3 linked regions of the Struthio camelus genome follow. The protein of the gene in region 3 purifies or fractionates together with the protein of the main gene of each other region. This does not show direct contact. Links are inferred from orthologs where the notes say so. Each region holds a gene or a part of one and is shown on either strand. Other genes may lie near its edges.

Region 1 (9,265 bases), on a different chromosome or scaffold from region 3:
ATTAGGAGGGAAAAGATCTCTGATGATCTCTGTTAAAACTGGCTCTCACTGAAAACGATTTTAAAGCTGTCGTCTATCATCTCTACTTCTTGCTGTTAGCTTTTAGCATGCTTTCCCTTAGAGGTCAATGCAAAGATGATGCTGTCAGCACTGATCCAGAGGAGAAACAACACTCTTCCCTGCCAGAGACAACAGAAAACGCACACTGCACTTCGGGGAGTTCTGTAGAGTGGCAGGTTTACAACATTTCCGCTTGGCCGGCCCCCAAACCTCTGCTTCTGCTTTCCAGAAAGTCAACTTCTCTGTCATTTAGATGCCCAAGGAGGACCACGCAGCTTCTAGCAGGAGCTGAACGGCCTTGTTGCCCTCAAAGCAGCCAGAGCAAGAAGCCGTTGCAGCTGCCAGCTGAGAGCGCTAGCAGGCTTACCCACTTTGCCTGCAGTTTCAGTCTCGCTGAGATGCGACTCAGAACATGGAACCGGAGAGCAGCAGTTTGCAGGGGAGGAACACGGACTCACCATGTGCTCCATGCAGATGGAAATCTCCCCATCGCTGTAGAAGGCTCCATAGAAACCCACAATGTATGGGGAATTACACTCGTGCAGCACCTGCAGCTCCCGGATAATCTGATTCCTGATGGCTGGCTTGATTTCTAAATGAATCAGCTGCCAAGAAAGAAAAAAATAACATCAAAGTATAGTGCCTGGAAAAAAACTACGGGGCCATGAGAGCCTGTCCTCAGTGCCGGAAAGAAATTAAAAAGCACTCGAGGAAGCTCTGCTTTGACCTAGACTTTATTGTTTGCATGCTAAACATTAAGGATAAAGGGGACAACCAGCGTGCTGCGCAGCCTGTTAGCAACTGAAGCAACTGCAGGCCCAAGTAACATGCCGAGATCACACTGGCTACAGAGCAGAAAGATAACTCAGAAGTTGGGTGCAGATCTGACTCAGCACACAACATTTTCACAAGCTCTGTAGGTGTTGTAAGAATATAAGAGGTGTTCTGATATCAAAGAAACCACAGAAAGTAAAAAAACATGAAGATTATGCACTTGAAAGACCAACTGCATTATTCCTTGGGCTCCACGTAGAGTCAGCTAACAAAGTTGTGGGTAGGGAAGCCATAGAGGCTGGAAAACGTGACGCCAGGTTACAAAAGCAGCTACTGTTACTGTAAGCTCTAAGACCTCCCTCACCAGGGACTTCTGGCCTTCCTACAGGGCCACAAAGGCTGGTCTCTGCAGGGACGCACAGCACTGTGCTGCCTAACCTTGCCTTGAGCTTCAGTTTCTGAGCTGCAGTAATTTCAAAATCAGTTACATGTAATGCTCCCAAATCAAATGCCACAATGGAAAACCTCAGAGATGTCAGCTCCAAGGGAAGCTGCCTAAAGAAACATATTCGCTCTTGAGAACCACTGAACCTTGCCGTTACCTTGTAAACTGCTCCCACAGCAGCGAGAACAGAGACTTTCAAGGAAGTTGTCCCGTGGATTAGCGGTTGCGCTATTCCCTCACTGAGCATTGCCTTTTCTAACAGGCAGATAAAATATCTTCTCCTTTTCTATCACAGAGCATCACAACAAGAGATGACTCCCATAAACCCATGCTCGAGAGGCTCTGTTGTCATGACAGACTTGCAAGGCTGCTTGGAACTGTCTTGGGGATCAATTAAACGGAAGCTGGGGGGTGAGCCAGGCACACAAGACTTTCTCTTGTCTGTGCAGGAGCAGCTCAAAGCTCGGGCTTGCAGTAGGGGAGCTGCTGTGCTCACAGGGAATCCTTCTCTCTATAATTTCCACCAGGAATTTTCAGTCCTCATTAGCTACAACCTAAGACTCTCTGTTGCCTGTTTTCCCCATCCAGTTTAGCAGACGGAAAAAGAATAAACTCGCGTTTCCACAAAACACGTTGCAAAACCCCAGGGATCTGTTGCGGAGCGCGCTGCCCCTCCCCGGAGGGCCCACTGGTGAAGGGCGAAACGGCTGGATTGCTAAGAGACAAGGGGAGAGAGGCTACACACAAAACCCAGCTCAGGGCAGCAGGGACAGTCGTTACCAACCCAGGCGACGAGGTCTGTATGCAAATTTGTGGGGCTGAGCAGAGCCCATCTCACAAACACTACCTGGCTGCCAGGTTTGGCAAGAAGGTGCAGGAAACCAAATTCCCCTCCCTCTGTTACGCGCAACAGCCACCCCGGCTGACATCTCAAGGAGCCGCATCTATTCCCGGGGCAGGCAGGAGAGAATCGCCAGAGCAGACAACCAAGACGGATACCACTCAGTTCAGCGTGAGAACGGGTTAACGCAGAGAGATCCTGACCGAATCCGGCTTTCCTGGGGCTGGGATGAGCGCAATATGCCATTGCGCCTTACCTCTCCAGCAGGCCCCGGGCACCTGCCCCTCCGTTACCTTTCGTGCCATAATGAGTCCTGAGGGTTTGTGCTGCACTTTGGTGACCACGCCGCCGTTGCCGGCTCCCAGTTCAGAGATCCTCTCAAAGTCATCGTCCTTCAGCTCCCCGACCTTGGCTTTCTGGGTGAGAAAAGCTTCCAGGCGCTTCTTTTGCTGCTCATCCAGTTCCAATTCCTCGAGCTTCTTCTGAAGGTCTACTAGGTTCGCCCTGGAGAAAGACAAGGAGGAGAACGGAGAAACGGTCAGGAGTCTGCGGGGCCATCGCCAGAGAAAGGGGGCTTGTCCGGTCCTTTGCTCTAGCGGCAGAGGCAAAACGAAAGCACGGCTCACGACGGGTTAGAGAGGAGGGCCCAACCAGAGGGAAGAGACTCCCAAAACCGTTTAGTGGAAAACGTTTGACACTGCAGGGAAGGAGAGGGAAATAACAGAAAAGCCCCATCTTACGCGTAATCAGACCAAAACCGTGATATAGCAGAGAGACTAAAACAAAGCTCAGGAGAGACGCAAGGCTTGGCTACGCTGCTGATGGGGACGTGCGGGCAGCAGAGACCAGTGATGCAATGTCTGCCCAACACTTGCATCTCTTCCAGAGAGGTTTTTTAATACAGTCAGCTGTCTCAGGAAACCCCAAGGAGCGGGGAAAATCGTTCGGCCCTTAAAGGGGCAGCAGAGCTCAGCCCGGGGAGAGCGACAGCACCAGCGAGCAACCTCTCGCTCCGCAAGCGCAGGGAGCCGAGCTTGGGTTTCACGGCGAAACACGAGAAGGCCCTTTCCAGGCGTCCAGCAAATCCCCCTGCTCCGTTACACCCCCGGCCGCCCCTCCGCTCGCCCGAGCACAAAGGGATGTCTGTGCTCCCCCAGCACCTGCTGCCCGGGGCGCCCGGCGCGGGCCTACGCGCCTCCTAACCCGGCTCCAGCCTCCTCCTCCGCCCCAGAGCGGCGGGGGGGACCCGAGCCAGCAGGCTCGGAGCCCCACGGGCGGCTCTGCCCCCCCCCCCCCAAGCTTTCACCGCCCGGCAGCCCCCGACCCCAGTGCCGCATCCTGCTCCCCCTGAGCCCTAGTCGCTCCCCTCCCTCCCCCAAAACTGCCCCCGGCCCCCAGCCTGGCTTCCCTGTCCCCTGCCCTCTAGGACTAGCCCCCCACCCCACCTCGCCTCAGCCCCCCAACGCCGGCCAGCGCTGCCGGGACACCCCCCCCCCCTCCGGCTTTGCCCAGCTGCCCCCTGGTCCCCAGCCACCCTGGGGGCCCGGCCCCCTCCCCACCTCCTGCCTCCCGCCGGCTCTCCCACCCCGTCCCCAGGCCGGGCCCATCCTGCCGCCCGGGGCCGCGGCGGTGGCAGCGCCGTGACGGCGCAGACCGGCGGCGGCCGCCGCCCCACTCACTCACTCGGCGGAGCCGTCGGGGCTGGGCCCCTCGGCGGGGCTGGGGGCGATGTTGAGGGCCGGCAGCACCGGCTTCCTCTTGGCGGGCATGGCCGCGCCGGGCCGTGCGGGGCCTAGCGGGGGCGCGGCCGCATGGCCGCGGGGGCGCGCCAACGAGCGCGCGCGGGAGGGGATGGGGGCGGGGCCGAGCCGCGGGGGCGGGGCCGAGCCGCGGGCGGCGGCGGGAGGGGCGGGGCGGCGGCGTCTCGCGAGAGCGCGGGGCGGGTCTCGCGGGAGCGCGCGCCGGCGGGAGCGCGCGCGGGGGGGGGAGGTGGAGGAGGGGAGGGAAAGGGCGAGGGCGGAGGGAGGAGATGGCGGCGCGGGGTGAGGGAAGGAGGACGGAGGAGAGGGAGGGACGGGGAGAAGGCGGCGAAGGCCCGGGCAGGGGGACGGAGGGGGCTCCGGGAGGGCGACGGCGGCGGGGACGGACAACCCCAGCCGAAGGGACAAAGGCTGCAGAGCCAGGCAGAAGGGGGCCGTCGGGCAGCGGGCGTCACAGGGAAGGAGCGGGCGTCAGGCGTCGGGTCCTTCCCAGGCCTGCCCCGCCGGCCGCCCCGGCCCCCTCGGTCGCTCTCGGCGGCCCCGCGCGCCCAGCAAAGGCCGAGGGTAACGGTCGAGGGCCTTAACGAAGCGGGGCGGTTAGCAGCCTCGGCCGCTGCGGGCCGGCCTCGCCCTCACGCCTCCCGCCGCCGAGGAGCCGGCCGGCCTCGCCCGGCCGCGGCCCCGGGAGGCCGAAGAGAGGCCGGCGCCGGGGCCGGGATGGCGGCGGCTCCAGGCCGAGCCGCGCGCCCTTTGCTCGGGCGCCAGGGGGTTCCCGTCTCCGGCAGCAGGGCAATAAACGCGCGCGGCGGGGCCGGGAGCGGCGGCGTCACCGCGGGGGCGGAGGGGTAAAACCGCGGCCTCGCGCCCGGCCCGGCTCCCGTCGCCGCCAGGCCCCCGTTTTCCGCCCGGCTCTCCCCCTCCTCGCTGAGGGCGAAGGCTCTCGGCGTGGTGCCCGGGCTTCCAGGGACCCGCTGTGACACCTCCATCCCGGGGACGGGCACGGGGACGAGCCGCCTGGCCCCTGCTCGAGGGTCCCGCCGCGGCCGAGCCGGGCCGGCGCTGGGTGCCCCACCGGATCGGGCCGCCGTGCCTGATCAGAGGGCGTCGCGCAGCGAGATAACGGCCGCGGGCAGCGGGCGGGTGCCAGGCGCACGGCCTTGTCCTCGCCGTCCCGCTTGCCACACCTCGGTCACACGCTTTCTTACTCACCGGGGCTCCCGGTTCGCCGCTGGGCTGCCACACGGGGAGCTGCAAGAGGCCAAACCCTTCCCTTCCCCGCGCCGTGGCCCAGCTGCACTGCCTGGCCCAGCTCAGGCCGTGGCTGGCTCTTCCCTCCTCAAAGGTGTTTCTCCCCATGGAGAGGGGTCTCGGGGTGGGGTTATACCTACCGACGGAGAGCAGGATCGGACCATGAGTCTCCAAAATGCTGGTCTGGCAAGGCAATGAGGGAGCTCTGTGGCACAAAGGAGCTCTGGTGGCATCTAGGTGGGGGTCTGGAGGCCAAGTGGACCCAGTCTGGGTAAGGAAGGAGGATGCCCAGGCCCGTGTAAATCTGTGTCATGATGTTAAATCCCCCAAGGGGGCTGTCCGAGCGCAGGTGCCTTTCCGGGACGTCAGGCCCGGGGTTTTTTCCATCCCACTGGAGTTTGGGGTCATGGCGTGGAGGGTGCTGTGGCTGACGTGCCTCCGGGCTGACGCCCTCACCACAGGGAGAGGGAAACGTGGGAAAGCAGCAGCCAACAAACTCCAACCCTTAGCAGGGAAACTGAGGCACGGAGGGCAGGGGCTAGCCCTCGTGGGAGCACCGGCCTGGGTGGCAGCACCCAGGCGTCCAGCCCAGCAGCTCTCACCCTGGTCCCCGGGACCAGAAGGGGTCAACATTTGTTGAGCACAAGATAAGTAGCAGAGTCCAAGTCAACATTTTCCCCGGATGTTGTTCTCAACACCTATATAACGCAATTAATGCTGATACGCTGATCTAAAAAAAGGGAAATTGGGCCCGAAATGGGTGAAAGTTCATTGGCAGCTGCGGCAGCCGGGACTTTGCCCCACCAGCCCTGGCCCCTCCTGCCCCCCCTTAGCGGAGGAGGACAAAAACATTTAGCTAATGAATTACGGAGCGGCGCAGGTCCTTCCTGGCAGCCCGGCCATCACTCAGCGCTGATCCCCAATCAGGGCCCGGGTGATTTTGCAATCCTTGATGCTATTTCTGTGTGGTTGGAGTTTAAACTTTGCCACTTGGGTCAGGGCACCGCAGAGGAGGAGGAGGCTGGCTTCGGTGTCCGGCCCGCTCCCTCTGCGTGCCAAGGGGGTTCGAAGGACGGGACGGACCCACAGACCCTGCTCCGCTAGAGCTGGGATCTAGCACAGGTAGGTCCTGGCTGCCAGCACTCACCGCTGGGCACTCGAGCCGCTCCGTCAGCCCCGGGGCCGATGGGGCTTGCTGGCAGGAGAGAGCGAGCGTGACGAGGAGCGATGAACCCCCGTCCTGGGGACGGCTGGGCAAATGTCATGTTCCCAAACTGGGCTTGAAGGGCTCTTTGGGTGGGTGGTCAATAGGTTGGGAGGGTCAGAGGGGTGGTGGATTGGGTGGTTGGGTGGTAGTTTGATAATCGATTGGGTGGCCGGTTGGTCATTCGATCAGTCAGTTGGGCAGTTGGTTGGTCGGTCAGTCGGTCAGTAGGTTGGTTGATTGGTCAGTCAGTTAGTCAATCAATTGGCTGGCTGGCTGATTGGCCATTTGGTCTGTTGGTTGGTCAGTTGATTGATTCGGCTGGTTGACTAGTTGGGTGGGGTTGGTCAACTAGTTGGCCAGTTGGTCAGCCAGCTGGTTGGTCACCTGGTCCGTTGGCCAGCTGGTTGGGTCTGGGGTATCAAACCGTCCCTGATAACTGGCGCGTTCCTGGTAGACCAGGGCTGAGTCCCCTTCTCGGGGCCGGCCAACAGTAGCTGCCCCTGCCCCCACCATGTTAACCACCCAAAATGATTAACCTGATCTTCCCGAGCACGTCGCGCGTGGCGGATGGGTCTGTTGGGGAAGCTGAGCAGCACCCAGGCCTGGGTGCCCCTCGTCCTCCTGTTCCAGGGGTGCCGGGGCAAGTGTGTGCCCGTGGGGAGGGTCAGCCCTGGCTTTGCAGTTCTCTTGGGGGAAAAAACATAGGGAGTGGGAGTTTCAGCCACTGGAAGGGGGCAGAGGGAGGGACCCAGCTTCAGCAGAGCTACCCCTGGGCCCCCAAGTCTGTGCATGCACATGTGTGCCCGGCCATATACGTGCTCTGCCTCCCACACGTGCACATGCGGAGACCTGGGCTTGCCTGGATGCGCTCGCACACTCACAAATACGTGGGTACGTCTGTCCAGATATGCCCACAAGCACGCAGCTGCATGGCCGTGCACCGGCACATGGTCACACGCTTGCAGGTATGCACACATGCACGTGGCCCCACACACACACGTGTCAGCATGGTCACAGCCACCTACCTACACATCTGCCTGCTCCTACGCACGTGTCCACATAGTCACAACTGTGCGCACGTGTGTAGAGACATGTCCCCACAGTCTCACACACGTGTCCCTTGCACCAGCCCTGTGCCCATCCCACAATTCGGGGTGTCCTCGGGCGCCCCAGCCCTGGGGTCATGCCGTTCAGGGGAGGTGGCTGGGCCCTGGGGAGGAGGGCAGAGGCCAGCGGTGACCATGGGGCAGGGGGGACCGGGGCCGGTGGCCTGACCCTGCCGCCTCCCCAGCCATGGCCTCCAGCGTGGGCGGCCTCAACAGCCTCGACCTGCTGGACTTCCTCTTCGACCGCGAGGACGGGATCCTCCGCGGCATGGAGCTGCGGATGCCCGCGGGCCCCTGGCAGCAGGACGCGGTGAGTCCCGGTGGGGCGGCCTGCCTCGCACGAGAGCCCGAACCCTGGACCTTGCCAGATGGGTGCCCCGTGGAGACGGGTGCCCCGTGGGGACAGGTGCACCACGGTGACGGGCGCCCCTGTCCCTGCAGCGTGCCCAGGACAGCAAGGACTTCATCAGCTCCATCCTGGGCTCCGGGGACTCAGCATCGGACTCTCCCGGCTGGTCGCCAGCTGCCAGTGACAGCGGGGTCTCCGAGGACCCCCCCTCCGACCAGCTCGACAGCCCCCTGGGGTGCTGCGACGGGGGGCTCGGCGAGGCCTCCTACCCCTACTCCGACCCCGGCCAGCCCCTGCTCCTCCTGGGGGTGCCTGGGGCCCCGCGCCCCGAGGTCTCCATCGACCTGGGTGAGCTGTGGGGAGAGACCGGGCTGGGCACTGGGGGAGCTGGGGGCACTTAGGGGTACTGGAGGGGACTGGACAGGCTGGGGAGAACTGGCAGGTCTGGGGGACTGGGAAGAACTGGGGAACCGGGAGGAACTGGGCAGACTGGGATTAATGGGGGAGGAGCTGGAGGAGCTGGCCAGGAGTCCTGCACTGGGGTCGGGGGGGACACAAGACACGGCACTGCTGACAGCACCCGCTCTTCTCTTGCCCAGACATGTGGCACCCGGGCTTCTTCCTGGAGGAGAGCCAGGACCCACCTGCGGCCCCCGCGCCAGCATCCTGCACCCTCACCGTCAAGGACCTGCTGCTCTCAGGCAGCTCTGACCCCGTGAGTCCCTGTCCCCTTGTCCCCACCCCTTACCTTCCCTGAACCTTGGTCCCATCTCCATCCCTGTCGCCTGTTCAACCATGATCCCATCCTCATCCCTGAACTATGGTTCCATCCCCATCCCTGTCCCCATCACTGTCCCTGCTTGGCCATGGTCCCATCTCCATCCCTGTCGCCTGTTCAACCATGATCCCATCCTCATCCCTGAACCATGGACCCAACCCCATCCCTGTCCCCATCTCTGTCCCTTCCTGAACCATGGTCCCATCCATATCCACATCCCTCTCCCTGTACCCTCCTGGACCATGGTCCCATCCCCAACCCCAACTTTGCTGTTACCTCTGGGGCCTTGGTCCCTTGGAGGAGGGGGGTCCCTCGGCCCCCATGGTCCCTCGGGGTGGGTGCGGGGTAACCCCGCACCCTGGGGACATCACCAGTCCATGGCCCTGCAGCAGCTGCCGGTGCCCAGCTCCCTGCTGCGGCAGAGCCAGGGGCAGTGCCAGGAGCTGGTGCTGACGGAGGACGAGAAGAAGCTGCTGGCGAAGGAGGGGGTGTCCCTGCCCACGCAGCTGCCCCTCACCAAGGTGGGTCCCACAGCAGCCGGGCGCAGGGCGTGGGCACTGCGGCCACTGGGGTCCCCAGCCACCCTGACCCCTGTCTCCCCCAGTATGAGGAGCGGGTGCTGAAGAAGATCCGGAGGAAGATCCGGAACAAGCAGTCGGCTCAGGAGAGCCGCAAGAAGAAAAAGGAGTATATCGAC
Region 2 (9,136 bases), on a different chromosome or scaffold from region 3:
ATCCTTAAGTTTAAAAAACTACCACACGCACAAATAAAAGCTGGACCGGGGGGGGGGGGGGGGGGGGAGACAGTTGCTATATATTTCACAAGCTGCTGTACACAGACAGCACTAGACGACATCCAAAAGACTTTGGGGAAAAGTCAGTGGTATTCCCCCCCTGCCCCAAATCACTTTCCTTTTTATGCATGTCTCCCTAGAAAAAGCAATGCCTCCACTTCCAGCCGTTCCCAGCAGATGCCTCCGCTTTGTTAAGGCTGGCAGGGTGACGGGCATCACTAGCAGCCCACGTCTTCCCAGGTCTCCTCCGCTCCTGGGTTTGAGGTAGGAGCCCCCAAGGGGCTTCCCAGACCCCCCCTCCGGCACCGGCTCCCACTCACAAACATGCTACAGAGACCTCAAACGTCACCTTCCCCCTGCACACCCGTCCTTTCGTCCCCGTTCGCTGCTTGCTCTTCTTCGCCCCTTCTGCCCAAAACCACAAGAGGTCACATGTGATTCCACCCTCCCGCTCCCCCCCGGGGGGGGTTCAGCAGAAGTGATAACTTCTGTACCAATTCCACCAAAATCTGCTTTTTTCCCCACACCATCATCACATTTTCCCCAGCCCGAGCGCCGCTTGCTTAACCTGTCCAGAACACCCATCCCGTGGCCTTCCTCTCATACTACTCTGCTGTAGGTGTCATTCTCCTAAAAATCCCTACTTCTTGATTATCCCTGCGCAAGCAGCTGCCTCCTGATGCCCTGCACCTTTCCTCTCCAGGTAGGAGAGGGTAGGAGAACAACACACGCCTTCACAGTCATCCTTTTTCGCCCGCCTCTCCCTGGTCCCCCTACCGCCGAAGGGCCCCGGGGTGCACGTTCCCATCTGCTTTGGGGCACGCGTCCTCCTCACGGCAGCAACAGTGCCTCAAGGCACAAGATATTAGGTATTTTACAGCACTGCAAAGAGGGAAGAGCCAAAAATGGGAGTTGCCCCTTTTGTAAATGGGAATTTACAAATTTGCCCAGCCAAGCAAAATTTGTGGTTCGATTTACTGTCACGAGAACCCCAGAGAATGGGATCTTGATCCTCATTTTACAGATAATTATGATATGGGGTGTTTAAGCTCTTTCCCCAAAATAACCGGATTTGGGAACAGAAAGGAGGGCAGATTGCTCCCCAGTTTCCTCCATACCGGCAACACTTTTCCTCTCATTGCAGAAAGGCTCCACTCTTTTGCAAGCACGCTGCGTAGTACAGGATTACCTGCGACTACTCTAAACACGCAGTTTTATTGTAACATTTCGTCCTTCTTCTGCTTTCAGCCTCCAACTTCTCAGATGTTGCTGTCCTCGTTCATCATGTCCTATATAACGCTGCAATGCTAGTCCTCAGCCCTGCAAAGTATCTTTGCTCTGTAAAACTCTTCTGCAGCGCAGAAATGTTATTTTCACTCAACCCCATTACTCCTAGTTAACCCTTTACAAACTGCAGCAAGCGTTTCTTCTGCCTCGCTGGCGTTTACATCCTCTCAAGTTGTGTTGTACCAACGGGATAAAACTAAGTTGCAAATATAAAATCTATGCACTTCAGGTCACAAAACGACAACGTTCAGCAATTTCAGGCAAAACTGAAAGCAAATCCTTGGTTAATATTCTGATTAGAAATACCTTAATTAGGTCAAAAGCTATTCCACCTCTGAAAATTGCCAATAAAAGCTGGATAAAAGTTCTAGGAGATTTAATTAACTTTCTTCCCCATAAGTACATTCACGGGGCAGGATGAGGAAGAAGCAGCAATGTGGCTCCAATACATTTCGCAGGAAAGAACAATTTGTGCTTTCAACTTTTTACTTGTAATCCCAGTTTCTAGCACAGATTTGGTCCCCAGTGACGTCCTGAATCCAGCTTAACGACTCATTACGGAAAGCCATCGTTTAAACAAACATTACCTTTAAAATACTAAAGTATCAAATCCTGATTCGAGGCGGGGGTGGGGGGGGTTAGACGTATATTTAGATTCAATACACTTGTCTGATGGAAGGAAATTCCACAAAATAGCAGCTCACCAGCCTCATCTGCAGTATTAACTGACCGTGGCAAAGCCCTGTTTGTTTAACATGCACAGTTTCACAGCGAAGACAGAAACTTGACTGCAGCACCAGAGCCTCAACTGGAACTCTCCAAGCAGAGCCGCAATGCACGACTGATGAATTTATCCTTCAAAAGCTCTTCTAGCTCATCACGTAAAATATTCTTTTTTGACAACAATACGCTTATCTGAATATGCGTTTGCACACTAGAAAATAGTAGCTTCAAAAGAGCTATTCTGTCTACTAAGAGGAGGGGAAAAGAGTAGGAGTATAGGGGGGAAAAAAAAGAAAAATAAGTACATTAACCTTGGGCCATCTGCTATAATTACTCCAAGTGAAACTATATATTTATGTTCACATTCTATACAATATTTTTGGCAGATGTTATTAGAGAAAACATTAGTAACGAGGCAGAGGAACCCCATTTTATGACAACTCTGTGCCTTTATAACCGGGGGAAAAAAATAACCTCCCTTGGGTAGTTCCCCATTGTCACAAACTAAAGGACATGGACTCCTATTTGATGCAGAGGTTTTGGTACGTTTTAGAGAACTAGCCGGTGGCAAAAGACACCGGGCTGCCTGCAGCGAGAGTAGATGACTCGCGGTCACTACTCGCATAAAGACATCACACGATTCTGGAAACAAGTGAAATTTCTCGCAGAGAGCAAAGAAGAAAGTTAAACTTTTTGGCTAAGCGCTTGCAGTAAAGTACGGCAAGGACATCAGCTTCTGCGGCCTTGGGGGGCTCTGGTATCACAAACACAGCACACTAAAGCCAGGAAACACCGACGCGAGCACCCCGGCGCTGCCCCTTCGGGCAGGGCGAACTAAAGCAGGGCGCGCGCGGCTTGGGGGCCGGCACCCCAAGGGCCCCCCAACGCCAAGTGGGGGACGCGCCTGGGCTCGGGTGCCCCAAACCGCGGCTGCGGCTCGGGGCCGACCCTGCCCCTCGCCTTGGCCGAGGCCCCACGGTCCCCCGTCCCGTCCCGTCGCCCTCCTCCACTTCTGTACCGTCCCGGCACCGGGAGGGGGCTGTGGGGCCGAGGCCCCCACCCTGTCCCCCCACCACCACCACCACTGCAACAGCCGGAGGCACCAACCCCCTCCTCAGGGAAGGGATCAGTCAGACCCCCCCCAGCCCCACGGAGAGCCCCCCTGTGCAGATCTTGGCACCCTCCCTAACCCCCTGCAGACCCCCCCCAACCTCCTATGTACCCCCCTTACCCCCACTGCCCCATAGAGCCCCATTCAGGACCTCCCAGGCCCACAGAGCTGCAGGCACATGCAGACCCCCCCCCAGACCCACACAGACCCAGAGAGGGCCCCCCTAGACCCATACAAGCTCCCTCTGCTAGCCCCACACAGACCCATACGAGCCCCCCCTCCTAGCCCCACACAGACCCATAGAGGGCCCCCCTCCTAGCCCCACACAGACCCATAGAGGGCCCCCCTCCAGCCCCACACAGACCCATAGAGGATCCCCCCAGACCCATACGAGCCCCCCCTCCTAGCCCTACACAGACCCATACAGTGCCCCCCAGCTCCATCCAGCCCACCAACCAGCCCCATATAGGGCCCCCCACAAGCCCTATATAGGGCCCTCCAGCTTCACACAGACCTGTACAGGGCACCCCCGGCCCCCAAAGCCCCCCCCCCGGCCCCATATGCCCCCCCTGCCCCACACAGGGCACCGCCAGCCCCCTGTAGGGCCCACACAGCCCCCGCCCCCCCCCGGCCCGGCCCTACCTGCCCCGCCGGTGCCGCTCACGCTCCGTTGCGTCGCCCGGCTCCGAGTGGCACCGCGCGCGCCCGCGCCGGCCCGAGTCTCCCCGGCCGCTGCGCCCCGCCCCTTCTCCCGCCTTCCATTGGCCGCCCCGCCTGCCCGTCTCGGCCGATGTTGCCCGCAGCGCCTTCTCATTGGCTCGGTGGCGGCGCTATGCAAATGAGGAGGTTTTCCCCACCCCCCCCCTCCACGCCTCGGTCCTCCCCCTCCCGCCCCGCCCCGCCCCGCGCACTTGCTGGGGCAGCGGCGGCAAAGCCAGAGCGACCCCAGCGCCGGGCGGGCAATGCCCGGGGGGGGGGGGTCCGTGCAATGCCCCGGGGGATTCAGCCCCTTGCAATGCCCCGGGAGGGGGGTCTGTGCAATGCCCAGGAGGATCCAGCTCCATGCAATGCCCCTGGGGGGGGGTCCAGTCCCTTGCAATGCCCCGGGGGGGGTCCGTCCAATGCTCCAGGGGATCCAGCTCCGTGCAATGCGCCGGGGGGGGAGGGGGTCCATGCAATGCCCCAGGGGATCCAGCCCCTTGCAATGCCCCGGGGGATCCAGCTCCATGCAATGCCCCCGGGGGGGGGGGGTCCAGTCCCTTGCAATGCCCCAGGGGGGGTCCGTCCAATGCTCCAGGGGATCCAGCTCCGTGCAATGCCCAGGGGGGGCGAGGGCTTTGTGCAATGTCCCCCAGGGGCACCGGGGTGCCAATCAGTACTCTAGGGTTACCCCGACCCCATGCAGCACCCCAGGGTGGGGGTCAGCTCTGTGCAGCGCTCCAGGGCAATTCCAGCCCCGTGCAATGGCCCCCGGGAGATCTTGGCCCCACCCAGTGTCCCCAGGACCAACCAACCCCATGCAATCCTTCAGGGGTACCCCGGCCCCACACTGCACCCCGGGGACACCGTGGCCCCTTGCAGTGTCCCCGGGGCTGCTGCGGGCCCTTGAAGCGCCCCCCGGGGTCCCAGGCCCCGTGCAACGGCCCGAGGATGAAGCAGCCCTGTGCAATGTCCCGGGGGACCCCAGCGCCGTGCAGCGCTCCGGGGGTTATTATGGGTCACAGCCCACCAGGAAAATAAACTTGCGCTAAAGTCTGAAAGCTAGTGATGGAAAGGCACTCTGTTGGGGGACACGCCGACTGTTGGAACAGGCAAAAAAACGTTACCGCTCGGCTTAAAGCAGGTAAGATTTTTGTTAGGAGCGGCGTCGACATGTGAGATTAGGCAAAATAAAAATGCATTTTAAACAAGTATCCTACCGCTGCTTGCGGACCTCAGCTCATCGCCGCGGCCGAGCTGGGAGGCCGCCGGGCTGGCCCACCGCGCCGAGCGAAAACGCCACGCTGGGCGTTTTCCTAGACGGGCGTTCGAGCTCGTGTGCCCCGTTCCCGTCCTGCTCCCCGTTTCCCACGCGTTCCTCCAATACACCCGCCCGGGGACGGGCTTAATGGACGGCTCGTTTTATCGATGCTTTCTTGCGCGCCTGTTTTTTGATGCTGAATTCGATTTTTGGTTTCCCCCCCCCCCAGCTGTCATTTCGACACCGACGGCACTCACTGGAAATAGGGAGTTCAAATTAAAGCCCGCTTTAAAAAAAAAAAATAAAAAAGTTGAAGATTTATCTTCCTGACAGCGTCATGCGTTACAACAAAGCCGAAACGCCGGGGGGGGTTGGGGGGGGGGAATCTCGCCCTTTCAGGAACACGAGGCAGCGACCCAGCCGCACGATTTGGAGAGCTGCTTTGAAATATTTCCGGCCCGGCCTCGGAGGGCTTTACATTTCCACTTGCCAAATAAACGTTGTGGCTTTCCAAACGCGCCCTCCCCAAACTGGCAGCTTCTTTTGGTGCCGGGGGGGGGGGGGTAACGGCAAAGCCTGGGAAAAGCGCACCCAGGCCGACGGCGGCCGTCGGGGGGGGGGTCCACGCTGGTTGCCGCTGCACCACAAAAACGGTCGATTTGTTTGTTTAAGGGCGGGGGGAAGCAAAATACTTGGCAAGTGTTATTTTTGTGTGTTTTTAAGAGACCTTTCGAGTCCTCGTGCTACTGCCGCCCGCCTCGCAGCCGGGGCAGAGGCGCTGCTCCAAACTCAGTCCCCCACCCCCCTTCCTAATTTCACAGCCGCATTAAAAAGGAAATTCAATTATAAAAAAATACACACATATACACACACACACATTAAAGCGGCGAGCCTGACGCAAACTTCCAAAAGGCAGGAAATTCACGGTGAAAGCAGCCGCTCTGTCCTCGCTTCACCCTATTGTGCCTGGGTATCGCCGCCCAGGCGTTATGTAAGATCGCGCTGTCCTCAGCCCGCAGCTCCGGCGCTTGGATTTCGCTTGAATTTCGCTTGAATTTCGAGCAAAACAGGAGCCTCGCGGCGCTCGTTTGTCTTGGGCGGCGCGGAGCGGGGCCGGGGCCGGGGCCGGGGCCGGACGGGAGCCGAACCGGCTCGGAGCGGGCTGCAGCCGCTAGCGCTCCCTGGGCAAACGTGCCCGCGAGGGAGAAACGGGATGGGGCGGGCGGGGAGGGGGGCTGTGCTTTGCATCGCTGCAGGTGTGCAGGAGCATTTTATCCCAGGAGCATTTTATCCCCGGAGCATTTTATCCCAGGGGTATTTTATCCCAGGAGCATTTTATCCCTGGAGCATTTTATCCCCGGAGCATTTTATCCCAGGGGTATTTTATCCCTGGAGCCTTTCATTCATGCGGCGTTTGGATGCCGCGGCAATAAGCGCTCGGGGGATGCTAGCCCGAGCCCGGGGTGCTCCAGGAGCCGCAGGGGAAAAAAATGTTCTGCAAAACAATCAGGGCTGCGCACCGGCACGTCCAGGGTGAAACCGGGGCCGAGAAAGTTTGCAAAATGCTTTATCCTCCCCCCCCGGCTCCCTGCCAGCTCGGGGGTCCCGAATGTGCCCCGCAGGCGGCCGCCGGCCCCCGGGGCCTGTAACACAAGCTCGGAGGAAATCTGCTCCTCCGGAGCCAGAAAAACCATAAATAATCTCCCAAGGCTTTGCTGTCGCTGCCAGGGGGACGGGCTGTTCCCCCCGGCCATCCAGCTGGCCGCACATGTCCTGCCCGGCGCCCTGACCCCTCCGTCCTGCCCGAAAAGCGCGGGGGCCCCGCGCTGAAACCCCGCAAAAACCCGCAAAAAAAAAAAAAACCCGCAAAACCCCGCAAAACGCCGGCCGAGCCCGGCGGGATCCTCCCCGACGGCGATGGGCGCCCGCCCCCCCGGCGATGGGCGCCCCCCCCCGGCTGCACCTCGAGAGCGGAGGGCGCAAATACAGAATCGGGGATATTTTTAATTCGTCCTTTTTCTAAAAATAACCCGAGTTAATCTGCCTTGAACACTCGAGAGAGAGAGGAGGGAAAAGAAGTCCCTCCCGTTTGGCTTCAAATCTGAAAGCCGCATCACAGTGAATCTCTCGAGCACGTGGGAGATCAAAGGAAATCGGTTGTTTGGGGTTTTTTTTTTCTTTTTTCTTTTCCTTTTGTTTGCTTGGCGGCCGGCCCGGCGCTCCGGGCTAGCGGGGTCGCGGGGGCCGGGCGGCCCCGGCCCGTCGGGGCTTCGGCGGCGGCACGAGGGGTCGCCAAAGCCTTTCACATCCCCCCCCCCGGGTTTCGCCGTCGCGACCCCGATGCCAGGCTCTTCCCAAAGCCTCGCCAAAATCTGGCAGCCGGAGGGCACCCGGCCTCACCCCCCCCCCAACCCCCGGCACCCTTAAGCGGAGGCTTTGCCGGACCCGCAGCATCGCCCAGGCCCGAAATCGCCCGACGGCGCCCGGCCTCCGCTTCCTTCCAGGCAGCTGCCGCCGGGGACGCTTCCACCGGCTGGAAGGACGCAAACATTTTCCTGGATTATCTCGCCGCTGAGAAAAAAATTAAAAAAAAAAAAAAAACCAAAAGACAGAAAGAAAGGAGAAGAACGGGAGATGAAGGGCAGGCCGGGCAGGGCTCTGCCCCACGGCGGGCGCCGGGAGCGGCCAGCAGCTCGCCCCCTCGGAGATAAAAACCCGAGAAAGTGACAGCAGGATGCAGCGCGGCCGGAGCGCGGAGTATAAATAAAGTCCAGCTTTGGAGAGCTGGACTCGGGCCACTTTTAACACAAAGTACATTCCGGCCTGGACGTAACAAACTGTACCAACCTCCTCCGGGGCCGCGGGGACCGGCCGGGCTCGGCGGGTGCTCCCGCCGGCGCTGCTGGCGGGGGATGTGCAGCGGGGGGATCTCGCCCATCCACACGAGCCTGGGTCGGGCTAGGGCTCGGGTTGCATTTCCAAAATAAACAACGAAAAAAAAAATAAAAAACAAAAAAAAAGGAAAGAAAACGAGCGCCAGCATCGCCGGCGGGCCCCATCCAGCCCGCCGCCGGCCCCGGCGCACGGCCGGTTTAGCGAAGGGGCTCCGGGCGGCTGCGATTATTTTTTTTTTTTTAAGGTAGAAAACTCGGTTCGCTCTTCTGGCGGAGGAAAGCGGCTCCGCCGCTGACCCCGGGGCCGCGGCGAGGCGGGCGCGGTGCCAGGCGTCCCCGGCGCGGGGACACGATGTACCGAGCGGCGGCGGGCGCCGGGAACAGCCTGACTCAGCAGCCGGGGAAGTGGGTGTGCGGCGCTGCCGCTGCCGGCGGGGCTGCGGGCGCCCCCCCCCCCGGATACCTACCCCCCTCCCCCGCCGGTGTTTGCACCCACCCGGCGTTTCGGGCAATTTGCTGCTAAAAATACCGAGCGAGGGGCATCCTCCCCCCTCCCTCCGCCGCCGCTGCTTTTTCCCGGTAAATCGGGCTGCGGCGAAGCCGGTGGCTGACTGCAACCCCGCCGCCGCCGGCCCGGGTTCTGCAGCCCGCCTGCCCACTGCGGACACGAGCTGAGCCGGTCTCAGCCCGTCCGGGGTTTCCCGCGGCTCTGCGCCCCCGTCGCGCCCCGGGGGTGCATCCTCCCCTCCAAGCATCCTCCGCCAATCCCCAAAGCAGCCCGACACCCTGGCGTGCGCGGTTCCTCCAGCTCGTGGGTGCTGCCCCCCCCCCCCACGCCCCGCTTTACAAGCCAGTTTAGCAGCCCCGAAGCCCGCGGCGCGGGAGGCCCACGGCAGAGCCCAGGCGGCCCCGGCCCGGCCCTGCAGCATTTCCCAACTGTTGGCTTTGCCCCCGCTCTGCTGCCAAGGGAGAGCGCAAGCAGGGACCGAAGGGCTGGCGCGACCCACGGTGCTGCCCGGGCCCTGTTCGCCGCAGAGTTTGTTCACCTCTTCCAGCCCCAGGAAGAGACACGAGAGCGGAAAACCAGGAGCGTCTTTGCCA
Region 3 (9,773 bases):
CATCGTACTTTGCAAACAGCGACACGAGTTTCCGGCCCCGCCGGACGCTTGTCCGCGGCCCCCCGGTGTCAGGCGCGTCCCTGGGCAAGAGGACGGGGGAATCCCGGGGAACCGGTGGCGGTACATCCCGCGGGAAACCGCGGGGAGGCTCTTTGGCGGCGGGGAATCAGCCGGGGCCGGCGGAGCGGAGCAGCAGCCTCCTCGCTCGTCCGGCCCTCGAAACAAACGGAAGGGCCCCCAGGTTTCGAGGGTGGGCGGCGGATGGCACGGGCGCCCGGGACGGGGGCCGCAGGGAGAGCGGCGCCGGCGGCGCGCGCTCTATGGGAGCCCGTCGCGCCGTGGACGACGTCTGCCGAAGAAACGAAGCAGCTGACGTTGCTGAGTAACGCCGCGCGCGTCCAGCCCCGTTACGAAAGCCAGACGCTGATAACGAAGGAAATGAATAATTCAAGCCGCCCGAGACTGCCCGTACAATAGTGAAACGAGGGTGTTTTCTCGTGGCGCTCGCGGCCTGTTCTCGCAGGCGGCGAGCGGCGGGCGCAGCGGCGACGGGCGAGCCGAGCCGCGCCGCACCGCGCCGGCGATGCTATCCGGCCGGCCGGCCATCTGTCCGTCCATCCTCGGTCAGCCAGCGAAGCGATGTCGCAGGGGGCTTGGGGGGACCGTGGCCGCTTTGCAGGCTGCTCTTGACGAGCGGGGGGGGGCTGCAGGCGATGGGGGCTGTCCCGAATCCTTGTGCGCCCGCCCCGGCGAGGCCTCGGCGCGGAGCGGCCCGCTGAGCTTGCTCGGCGGTTGGAGAGCGGCAGGGTCGGCGCGCGCCCTAAGCCTCGGCACGTCTTGCCCCGCGGCTGCTTCTCGGGGTCGTTTTTCAGCGCCCAGCACCCGTTTTGCTTGCGTTGTTTTTTTTTTTTGGGGGGGGGGGTTATCTCGGCTGTCTTTGCGCCGCGGACAGGCCGGGGGGATCGCCTCCTCGCTAGCGGCCAGATGCTGGGCTGGGGCTCCCGGCGCGCTGCCTCGTGCCTCCTCGCGGCCGTGGGCAGCGCGGGACCGTCCCGTCCTTGCCTCCCGCGTAAGCCGCCCGGGAGCGACGACCGTAGAAATGACTGTGCTGGTGGCTTAGATGTTTTAGGCAAAAAATAATCTGTTGTTGCAAACGCGCTGAGTACAAAGAGTGCCTTGCCCTGTTATCTCCGTTTTGGTTATTGAAAGACTTGATTAACCACAGAAGCCAGCAGGAGAGAAAATTTCCAGTGTGTCTTTTTTTTTTTTTCTCTCTCTCCTATTTCCCTGTGCTCCAGCTAATGACAGAAATTGCATTGCATTTCAAACGCAGGCGATATTTAAATATCTGCCTGTTACGGCCTTCAAAAAGTGCCTGCCGCAGCAGTCGACAGGACGCCGTTCTCTGCCGGCCTTTCCGGAGGGCCGTTCCTCGTTATCCCGGGGCTAAAGAGCAGCCGAGCGGGAGGTCGGCTTCCCCCCGCGGTGAGTCGGTTTGGGGCTATCGCAGGCCCGGGGACTGGGCTAGTTTGCACCCAAAAAGAAACCCGGCCCGGTCCTTTGCCCTGGGGGATGCAGTGCTGCCCCGTGAGCTGCGAGGGGGCGATCCCAGCCATCCACCCCTGCTAAAACACAGCTACAACGCACACAGGTATGGGATACACATACACATATACATATATACACACACGCACACACGCACGCACCTGCGCCCATGCAGATACGTGTGAAATTACGACCGACATCGAGAGCGCAGCCCGGCTGCAACGGGATGCTCAACCTCACGACAGCAAAGCAGGATTTCTTTCCCGAGACGAGCTCTGTGGCCGAGGGAGGTTTCTGCCCAGCGGTTTCCAAGCGGCTCGCTAGTCAGTCCCAGTCCGATCCAAACGCTTTGGCAACGAGGTAAACGCTCTAGACGAGCGTCTCCGGGCGATCGCGGGCGCGAACGGAAATGTCCTTCTTCCTGGGGCGCCGCGCGGCCCCGGGCGCTCTGCTCGGGGGCCGGGCAGGGGCGCAGCGGGCAACGTGGCCAGCGATTTCAAGCATATTCCCGTGACTTTTGCACTGCCGTTTGCCCGGCCGGGAAGGCAGCTGTGATCTGCTCTAGGCGCTCAAGGAAAGGTCTGCACCTCTCCCCAAGAAATCGCTCTGGTTGGAGCAGGTGCGCGTTTATTCTTCGCTTAAAACCCGCGAAAGGACGTGACGCCTCCGCTAACAGGAATAATAGCGCTGCGGGCTGGAGAGATGCAGCAGCATCTCCTTGCGAAGGACTGGTGGCAGCTTATGCTGCTGTATTCCTAAGCAATCCGAGCCAGATCTGGAGCTGTACCCAGCGAAATCGTGCTCACCCGCGACGGGCAGGACGACTCGGGGCGCTCTGTCCCTGCGTGAGCCAGGTCTGCCTCCATCCAGACCGGGCTCACGGCCAGGCCGGGCTGAATCCCGCACGTAACCATCCACCCCGCGTCGGCAAAGGGCCGAAGAGCTCGGTTTGGCCGCGCGGGAGGCTCCTTTCACTTGATTTCCATGGACGTGGCCTGGAGCTTAGCCCGTCCCGCTTAGGTGCATTTGGGTGCAATTGCGTTGCTTTAAGTGCATTGCGCTTTCTGCAGGGGCTTGTCTTTCTCTTCCGGCTGTGCCGTGCTGTCTTCGGGTGCGCGGCTCGCAAGGAGCCGGGAGGGACAAAGTGCTCCCGGAGGTCGAGTGCCCGAGTGGGGATTTACGCTCTTCCCTTTGAGCCATTGCCGAAAACATTGATCCTGTAGTGCAGCGCCAAAAATGACCAGTTGTGACCGAATTGACCAGGTGTTGGTGCTTCCAGTGGGATGTGCCCTCCAGGCAGGACAGCACACGCCTGGCTGGGAAGCTAAAATCCCAGTAATTTCTTTAAAACCCCTTTAATTCCCCCCCACAAACCTGCACACATGCACTTGGAAGAGGATCCTTGAGCGCAAGTGAACGGCTTGCGAGCGGGAGGGAGGGATGGAGACGGTCCGCGACGCTGGGGCGATGGGCCAAGCCTGTAAATTAAAACTCCTGCTTAAAGAAAGCGATGAGCAGCACGTTGCAAACCTTCTGGGCCGTATCCCCTGGGCAGCGCCCGCACAGCGTCCTGCAAAGGGGCAGCCAGCGCAGGGCAAAGCTGTCGCCTCGGGGAAGGCTGCGAGCGCGAGGAGCCGCGTGGCCGGGGCGCGCCGCCAGCCCGGCTGCCCCCGCGAGCACGTTTTGTCCCCGGCGCTCCTCTCCCGCGCCTGGACGAGGGTGGCTCTCGCCCTTCGCCCCTTCTGCGTGTATTTGGCGCAGAGGCAGTCCTGGGGTGTGCTGCCCATTTACGCACAGGCGATTGCGCTGTGCGCTTCTGCGTGTGCAGTAGGAGAGCCGCACCGGCGGGGGCTGCTGCAGAAGGCACTTTTAAGGCACATGGCTCTCTGCACGGCGGCGGGGACGTCGGCTCCGGTGTCCTCCGCCGCTCGCTCCCCAAACCGCGGCCGTGGGCTTTCCGGGCCGCTCGCGGCAGCCGGAGCGGCGGCTCTGAGGCAGGAGCTCGCGGGAGAGGAGGGGGAGTGAGCGTGGGGGAGGCACGCTGCAGCAAGCCTTGAAGACGACGTTTGGCATCTTTATTTTTATTTGGCTTTTTTGTTGTTGTTGCTTTTTTGCTCGGTTGCAGGCCAAATCCTGTTGCCACAGCAGGGTCTCTCCTTGGCATCCCTGTCCCCGTTGCAGCTTTTCCGTCTCCCCTGCTCGTGCCGCTCGGTGCAACCCTTGGTGTCGGGAAAGCGCAGCAGGATTTGGCCTGTCCCTTAGCAGCATCGGCTTCCCCAGGAGCAAACCGGGAGGGAGGCAAGGTGCGGGACAGGCACGCAAAACAAACCGGTGTGAAGGGGCGCGGGGAGAGCGAGCTCCCAAAGACGGGGACGTGGGGCCCGGCGCGGCGTGCGGCCTCTCCGCGTGGCTTTGCCCTGGGAGAGTGGCGGGAAGTTAAATGCGGCTCGAGCTCTCCCGGGCCCCGGTACCGTGCTTGGGGTACAGCGGCCTTGCCCACTGGCAAACGCAGGCCGCAGGTCCCCCAAAACACCCCAGGAGGCTTTGTGGGGCGGGAGGGCAGCGGGGGGCAACGGCGCCTTCCAAGGGGGCCGAGCGTGTGCCCTGCAGTGACGTGCATGCAGCCCGGCCGGTTCCCTCTGCAAAGGGCTCCCTCCTGCAGCCCCACTGCAGCCTCCTTAGGCCTTTGGGGGTGCATCTTCCCTGTGCCCCCCTAGCTGTCCCCCCTTCCCTTGCCCTGCAGCGACATGCACGCAGCCTGGCCTGGCTGCCTCTGCCCTGGGGGCTGCAGCAGGGCCCCTGTTGCAGCATGGTCCCTCGTTGCAGCACAGCCTCCCGTTGCACCATGGTCCCCCCTTGCAGCAGGGCCCCCAGTTGTAGCAGGGCCCCCATTTGTAGCAGCATCCCCTGTTGCAGCACAGTCTCCCCTTACAGCAGGGCCCTCAGTTGTAGCAGACCCCTCGTTGCAGCAGGACCCCATTGCAGCAGGGCTCCCATTGCAGCACAGTCTCCAGTTGCAGCAGGGCCCCCGTTACAGCAGGCCTCCCCGTTGCAGCAGGGTCCCCCGTTGCAGCAGGGTCCCCCATTGCAGCAGCCCCCCATTGCAGCAGCCCCCCGTTGCAGCAGGCCCCCCTGTTGCAGCAGGCCCCCCTGTTGCAGCACAGTCTCCAGTTGCAGCAGGCCCCCCTTTGCAGCAGGGTCCCCTCGTTGCAGCATCCCCCCCCCCCCGTTGCAGCAGGGCCCCACTGCAGCCCCCCCCCGAGCCACCGGTGCCCCTCAGCCACTGCAGCCTCGCAGCGATGCTCACCATCCCCCTCCCCCGGCCGGGCACCCCCGCGGCCGCCGGTGCGCAACGGAGGGGAGGAGGCGGCGGGGGCGGGGGATGCCGGTGCGCGGGGAGGGGGGTGGGACCGGGATGCCGGTGCGCGGAGCGCGGGGGGGGGGGGGGCGCGCAGCGAGGGGGGGGGCGCGCAGCGAGCGCGGCCCCGGCGGTGCCTGAGCGCGCCGCCCCCGCCCCCGCCCCGCCGCGCCCGGGGGGAGGCGGCCGCGGCGCCGCGCTGACGGCTCGGTGGGCAGCGCGCCGGGCCGGGCCGGGCCGGGCCGCGCCGCGCCGCGCCGCGCCGCGCCCCGCGGGGATGCTGCGGGCGGCGGCGGCGGCGGCGGCGGCGGCGCGGGGCTGAGGCGGCGCGGGGGCGCGCAGCCCGCATCCGGGCGGCGGCGGCGGCCGCGGGGGGGGTGGGGGGGGGGCGGCGCGGCCGCGGCGAGCGATGGATGAGGAAAACATGACGAAAAGCGAGGAGCAGCAGCTGAGTTTGCAGAAAGCCCTGCAGCAGTGCGAGCTCGTCCAGAACATGATCGACATCAGCATCTCCAACCTGGAGGGGCTCCGCACCAAGTGCGCCGCCTCCAACGACCTCACGCAGAAGGAGATCCGCACCCTGGAGGTAGGGGCCCGCAGCCCCGGGCCCGCCGGGGCTCCCCGGCCGGCTCCCTCGCGGCGCTGCAGTGCGCCCCAGTGAGCCTGCGCGCTCTGCAGGTGGCCCCCGAGCTGGGTCTGGCACACGCTGAATGTTGCTGTCTGCCAGGAGGACCGGGAGCATCCCCGCGGCCGGCCTCCAGCCTTGCTGGCAGGCTGCAGCCCCTCGGCCGGCAGCATCCCCTCGGCCGGCAGCATCCCCTCGGCCAGGCTGCAGCCCCTCGGCCGGCAGCATCCCCTCGGCCGGCAGCATCCCCTCGGCCGGCAGCATCCCCTCGGCCGGCTGCAGCCCCTCGGCCGGCAGCATCCCCTCGGCCGGCAGCATCCCCTCGGCCAGGCTGCAGCCCCTCGGCCGGCAGCATCCCCCCGGCCGGCAGCATCCCCTCGGCCAGGCTGCAGCCCCTCGGCCGGCAGCATCCCCCCGGCCGGCAGCATCCCCTCGGCCGGCTGCAGCCCCTCGGCCGGCTGCAGCCCCTCGGCCAGGCTGAATCCCCTCGGCCGGCTGCATCCCCTCAGCCGGCAGCATCCCCTCGGCCAGGCTGAATCCCCTCGGCCGGCAGCATCCCCTGGGCCAGGCTGCTTCCCCTCGGCCGGCAGCATCCCCTCGGCCGGCAGCATCCCCTCGGCCAGGCTGAATCCCCTCGGCTGGCAGCATCCCCTCGGCCAGGCTGCAGCCCCTCGGCCGGCAGCATCCCCTCGGCCGGCAGCATCCTCTCGGCCAGGCTGCAGCCCCTCGGCCCAACTCCTTCCCTTCCTCCGAGCTGCATCCCCGTGGCCGGGCTGCGTGCCCCTCGGCCTGGAGCATCCCCGTGATCAGGCTCCAGCTTCTCTGGCAGGCTGCATCCGCTTGGCCGGGAGCATCCCCACAGCTGGGCTGCATCCCTGCAGCCAGGCTCCAACCTCTCCAGTAGGCTGCATCCCCTCGGCCAGGAGCATCCCCTCAGCCGGGAGCATCCCCTGGGCCGGGCTGCGTCCCCTCAGCCAGGAGCATCCCCTGGGCCAGGCTGCATCCCCTGGGCCAGGAGCATCCCCTCAGCCAGGAGCATCCCCTCAGCCAGGAGCTTCCCTCAGCCAGGAGCATCCCCTGGGCCGGGCTGCAACCCCTGGGCCAGAAGCATCCCCTGGGCCAGGCGGCATCCCCTCAGCCGGGAGCATCCCCTGGGCCGGGCTGCACCCCCTCAGCCGGGAGCATCCCCTGGGCCGGGCTGCACCCCCTCAGCCGGGAGCATCCCCTGGGCCGGGCTGCACCCCCTCAGCCGGGAGCATCCCCTGGGCCGGGCTGCACCCCCTCAGCCGGGAGCATCCCCTGGGCCGGGCTGCACCCCCTCAGCCGGGAGCATCCCCTGGGCCGGGCTGCACCCCCTCAGCCGGGAGCATCCCCTGGGCCGGGCTGCACCCCCTCAGCCAGGAGCATCCCCTTGGCCAGGAGCATCCCCTGGGCCGGGCTGCACCCCCTCAGCCAGGAGCATCCCCTGGGCCGGGCTGCATCCCCTCGGCCAGGCTGCTTCCCTTCCGCTGAGCTGCATCCCCCGGGCCGGGCTGCCTCCCGCCACCCGTGCTGCATCCCTTCCACCAGGCTCCATCCCCTTGGCCAGGCTCTGGCCCCTGGCTGAGGGCAGGCCGGCATCCTCATGGTGCAGCGCCTCTCCCGACCCTCGCAGCCTGCCGCGGCGCTGGGCAGAGCCCCTGCGGGAAGGGGAGGCTTCGCCGAGCCGCGGCCTCCAGCTGGGCCTCGGGGCTGCCGGCTGCTCGGGGGGCGAGGGCTGCGGGGCTGCTGCCGGGAGCCGCCGAGGGCTGCGGGCAGGAGCCGCGGCCGGGAAAAATCACGCATGCCTCTGCGGCGGCGGCTCCTTTTAATGCCGGGGAGGTGGGCATGGGGATTTTAAGAGGGTTTCTGAGGCCTGAAGCCCTCCGGCCTGGCAGCACGTGGGGCGCAGACCCGGCCAGCCCCTCGCTGGGGCCTGGTGCGCGGGAATCCCATTTATTTCCTATATCGGTAGAGTTTTATAGCTGGCTGAAACGTGCATAAGTAAAAGCTGCCAAGTGTCAGCGCTGGGTGCCAGAAGGGGCGGCTGGACTGGGCTGTCATGTCCCAGTGTGCAGGCGTTTGCCCTGGAGCGTGCTGAGACCCCCGCAAGAGGGATTTGGCATTAAATGGGGGGGGGGGGAGGCAGCAGGCCTGGCCGGGCACGGGGATGCCGGGCTGCGGGAATCGGGACCGCGCCGGTGGCTGGGCTCCTGCAACCTCCCCTCCGTGGGGCAGTTTTGCACCCTGGGCCGCTGTCGGACTGGTCCATGCTGGCGCCTGCAGCCCATCCTCGGCTTGCAGGGGCGCAAGCAGGGCAGCCGGGGCCGCCGGTTGCTGTGCACCGATCCTGCTCCCGTCGCTGCCTCTGCGAGCCGGGCAGCGGGGCTCTCACGTGTTTTTGCCCCTCTCCTGCCTAACGCCAGGGGTAAACGGGAGGCATCGGACGGAGCAGGCGGAGAAACCCGGGGCAGGAGCGTGGTGCGGCGCCCCGTGCTCCGCGGTCTGTCCCACGCCAAGTCTCGGGGACGGCGGGGACGACGGGGACGAAGCAGGGCAAGGGGGCTGCGAGCTCAGCCCGGGGGGCGAGTGGCTCGACAGCAATTTTGGGGTAACTGGGAGACTCCAGGAGAGCGAAGGGGGGCTCGGAGGTGCCGCGGAGCTGCTGGTTGCTGCTGCTGCCTCCACCCGCGCCCAAGTGCCCGCGGGGACGAGGAAGGCAGGGGGGAACAGGCCGGCTCCAGGCAGCACCTGGACCGTCGCGGCTCTGCAGCAGGAAGTTCACGCCGCGCGCGGTGACGGCTGCACGAGTACGCGGGTGCGCCCTTCAACGGGGACGCTCAGAGCAGGGGGGCGGCCGGCGGCGCGGGTGAGATGCTGCTCCGGGTCGTTGGGCGCCGGGCAGCGCAGAGCGGTCCCCGGGGTGCCGGACCGCGCCGCGGCCCCGTCCCCGGCTGCACCCGCCACCACGGCTCGCGTTCGCCGTGTGTCGCTCCCGGCTGGCGCGAGGCTCGCGGGATGGGGCCGGCCGACCGGACTTCCAGCGCCACGTGGCTGCTCGGCTTTTCCTGCTGAGCGCGTTTTCCTAAGGCGGTTTGCAGCGACGAGGCCAAAAAGCAGGTATCTAGGGGCATTTTTCTGGTGCCGGGCCCAACGGCGTAGAGCCGGCCCGACTCCACGGTGACGGTGGTGACCTGGGGTCCCACCGGAGCCAGCCGCCACTGCTGCCGCCCGGCCCCGCGGTTCTTCGCGTCCCGCCTGGCTGCAGCAGCACCGGGGCGGGCGGCGGGGGGCTCCGAGGTCGCGCGGGGCGGCCGGCGAGGCGGAGGAGGCAGCAGCCTTCGCGGCGGGCGGCACGAGCCGCCTGGCTGGCGGGACCCCCCGGCGGCCGCTGCGCGCTCCCCCAGGCAGTGCCGGGGCCGCGTCGTGACATCGGGTCTCAGCCCGGCCGCGGCGGGGAGCCATCCAACGTTGCCTTTTTTTGCTTAATCCTGATGTGCAAAAGCCCGATTTTGGGGGATTAATAGCAGTGCCTCGATTCTTCTTCCCTTTTTTTTTTTTTTTAAAACCGTCTTCGGGTCCACGCAAGTCGCCGCGTCTCACGTGCTGCGGCCGCGCAGGGAGCCGCTAACGCCGTGCCGTGCCGAAGCTCCTCCCCGGGGGGCTTCTGGGCAGGGACCGGGGCCCGCTTCGCTGCGCGGCCGCGGGGAAAGGAGGCTCCGCGGTCCTGCTGGCGGCCGTGCCGAGCGGCGGCGAGGCGGCCGCCGGGGCCGCAGCCCGGCCTGCCGCCGTCCTGCCGGGCAGCGACGCGGGGGAAGCCGGACTTGGGCCGATCTGTCTCCTGAAGGACGGGAGCAAACGGCCGGGACGGAGCATCTGCAGAGCCGCTCTGACCCACGGCGGCGAGCGGTCCGGCGACAACGCCCCTGGTCCCGCCTGCCGGCGTCCCTGCAGCGTCGCCGCTCGGCCCGGGTGCAAGAGCGGCAGCGAGTTGGAGCCGGGCCGTGAGGTCTGGAGCCGGCTGGAGAGACCCCCGGGGAGCGCTTAGCGGCCCTCGAAATACACGGCGCGGGGAGCCAGGGTCGGCGCGGCAGCCCAGAGCCGCCTCGGAGGCGCCCTGGCGGGCAGAGCGCTCCGAAAGCGCCACCTCGGCGAGCTCGGCCGCCGCGGCCGCGCGGAGCCCGGCCGGGGAAGGCGGGCGGCTCGCGTCCTGAAGGGTTGACGCGG

Evidence for each region.
Region 1: the proteins of KSR2 (region 3) and MAP2K2 purify together in Homo sapiens (affinity purification with mass spectrometry; 3 studies listed by BioGRID and IntAct, with this or other methods). This does not show direct contact. The link is inferred for Struthio camelus from reciprocal best matches to the Homo sapiens genes KSR2 and MAP2K2.
Region 2: the proteins of KSR2 (region 3) and FKBP5 purify together in Homo sapiens (affinity purification with mass spectrometry; 3 studies listed by BioGRID and IntAct, with this or other methods). This does not show direct contact. The link is inferred for Struthio camelus from reciprocal best matches to the Homo sapiens genes KSR2 and FKBP5.

The regions. Positions count from the first base shown.
Region 1 is NC_090967.1:4,358,070-4,367,334, forward strand, and holds the start of MAP2K2 (dual specificity mitogen-activated protein kinase kinase 2), read right to left. Parts: upstream 3,993-9,265; 5' UTR 3,890-3,992; coding exon 3,804-3,889; intron 2,625-3,803; coding exon 2,414-2,624; intron 666-2,413; coding exon 519-665; intron 1-518. Other genes in the region: CREB3L3 (cyclic AMP-responsive element-binding protein 3-like protein 3), read left to right, coding at 7,629-7,751, 7,883-8,138, 8,390-8,505, 8,958-9,089, 9,173-9,265. UniProt on the Homo sapiens protein: Catalyzes the concomitant phosphorylation of a threonine and a tyrosine residue in a Thr-Glu-Tyr sequence located in MAP kinases. Activates the ERK1 and ERK2 MAP kinases.
Region 2 is NC_090965.1:5,057,221-5,066,356, reverse strand, and holds the start of FKBP5 (peptidyl-prolyl cis-trans isomerase FKBP5), read right to left. Parts: upstream 3,934-9,136; 5' UTR 3,824-3,933; intron 1-3,823. UniProt on the Homo sapiens protein: Immunophilin protein with PPIase and co-chaperone activities. Component of unligated steroid receptors heterocomplexes through interaction with heat-shock protein 90 (HSP90).
Region 3 is NC_090958.1:5,311,765-5,321,537, forward strand, and holds the start of KSR2 (kinase suppressor of Ras 2), read left to right. Parts: upstream 1-5,296; 5' UTR 5,297-5,312; coding exon 5,313-5,489; intron 5,490-9,773. UniProt on the Homo sapiens protein: Location-regulated scaffold connecting MEK to RAF. Has very low protein kinase activity and can phosphorylate MAP2K1 at several Ser and Thr residues with very low efficiency (in vitro).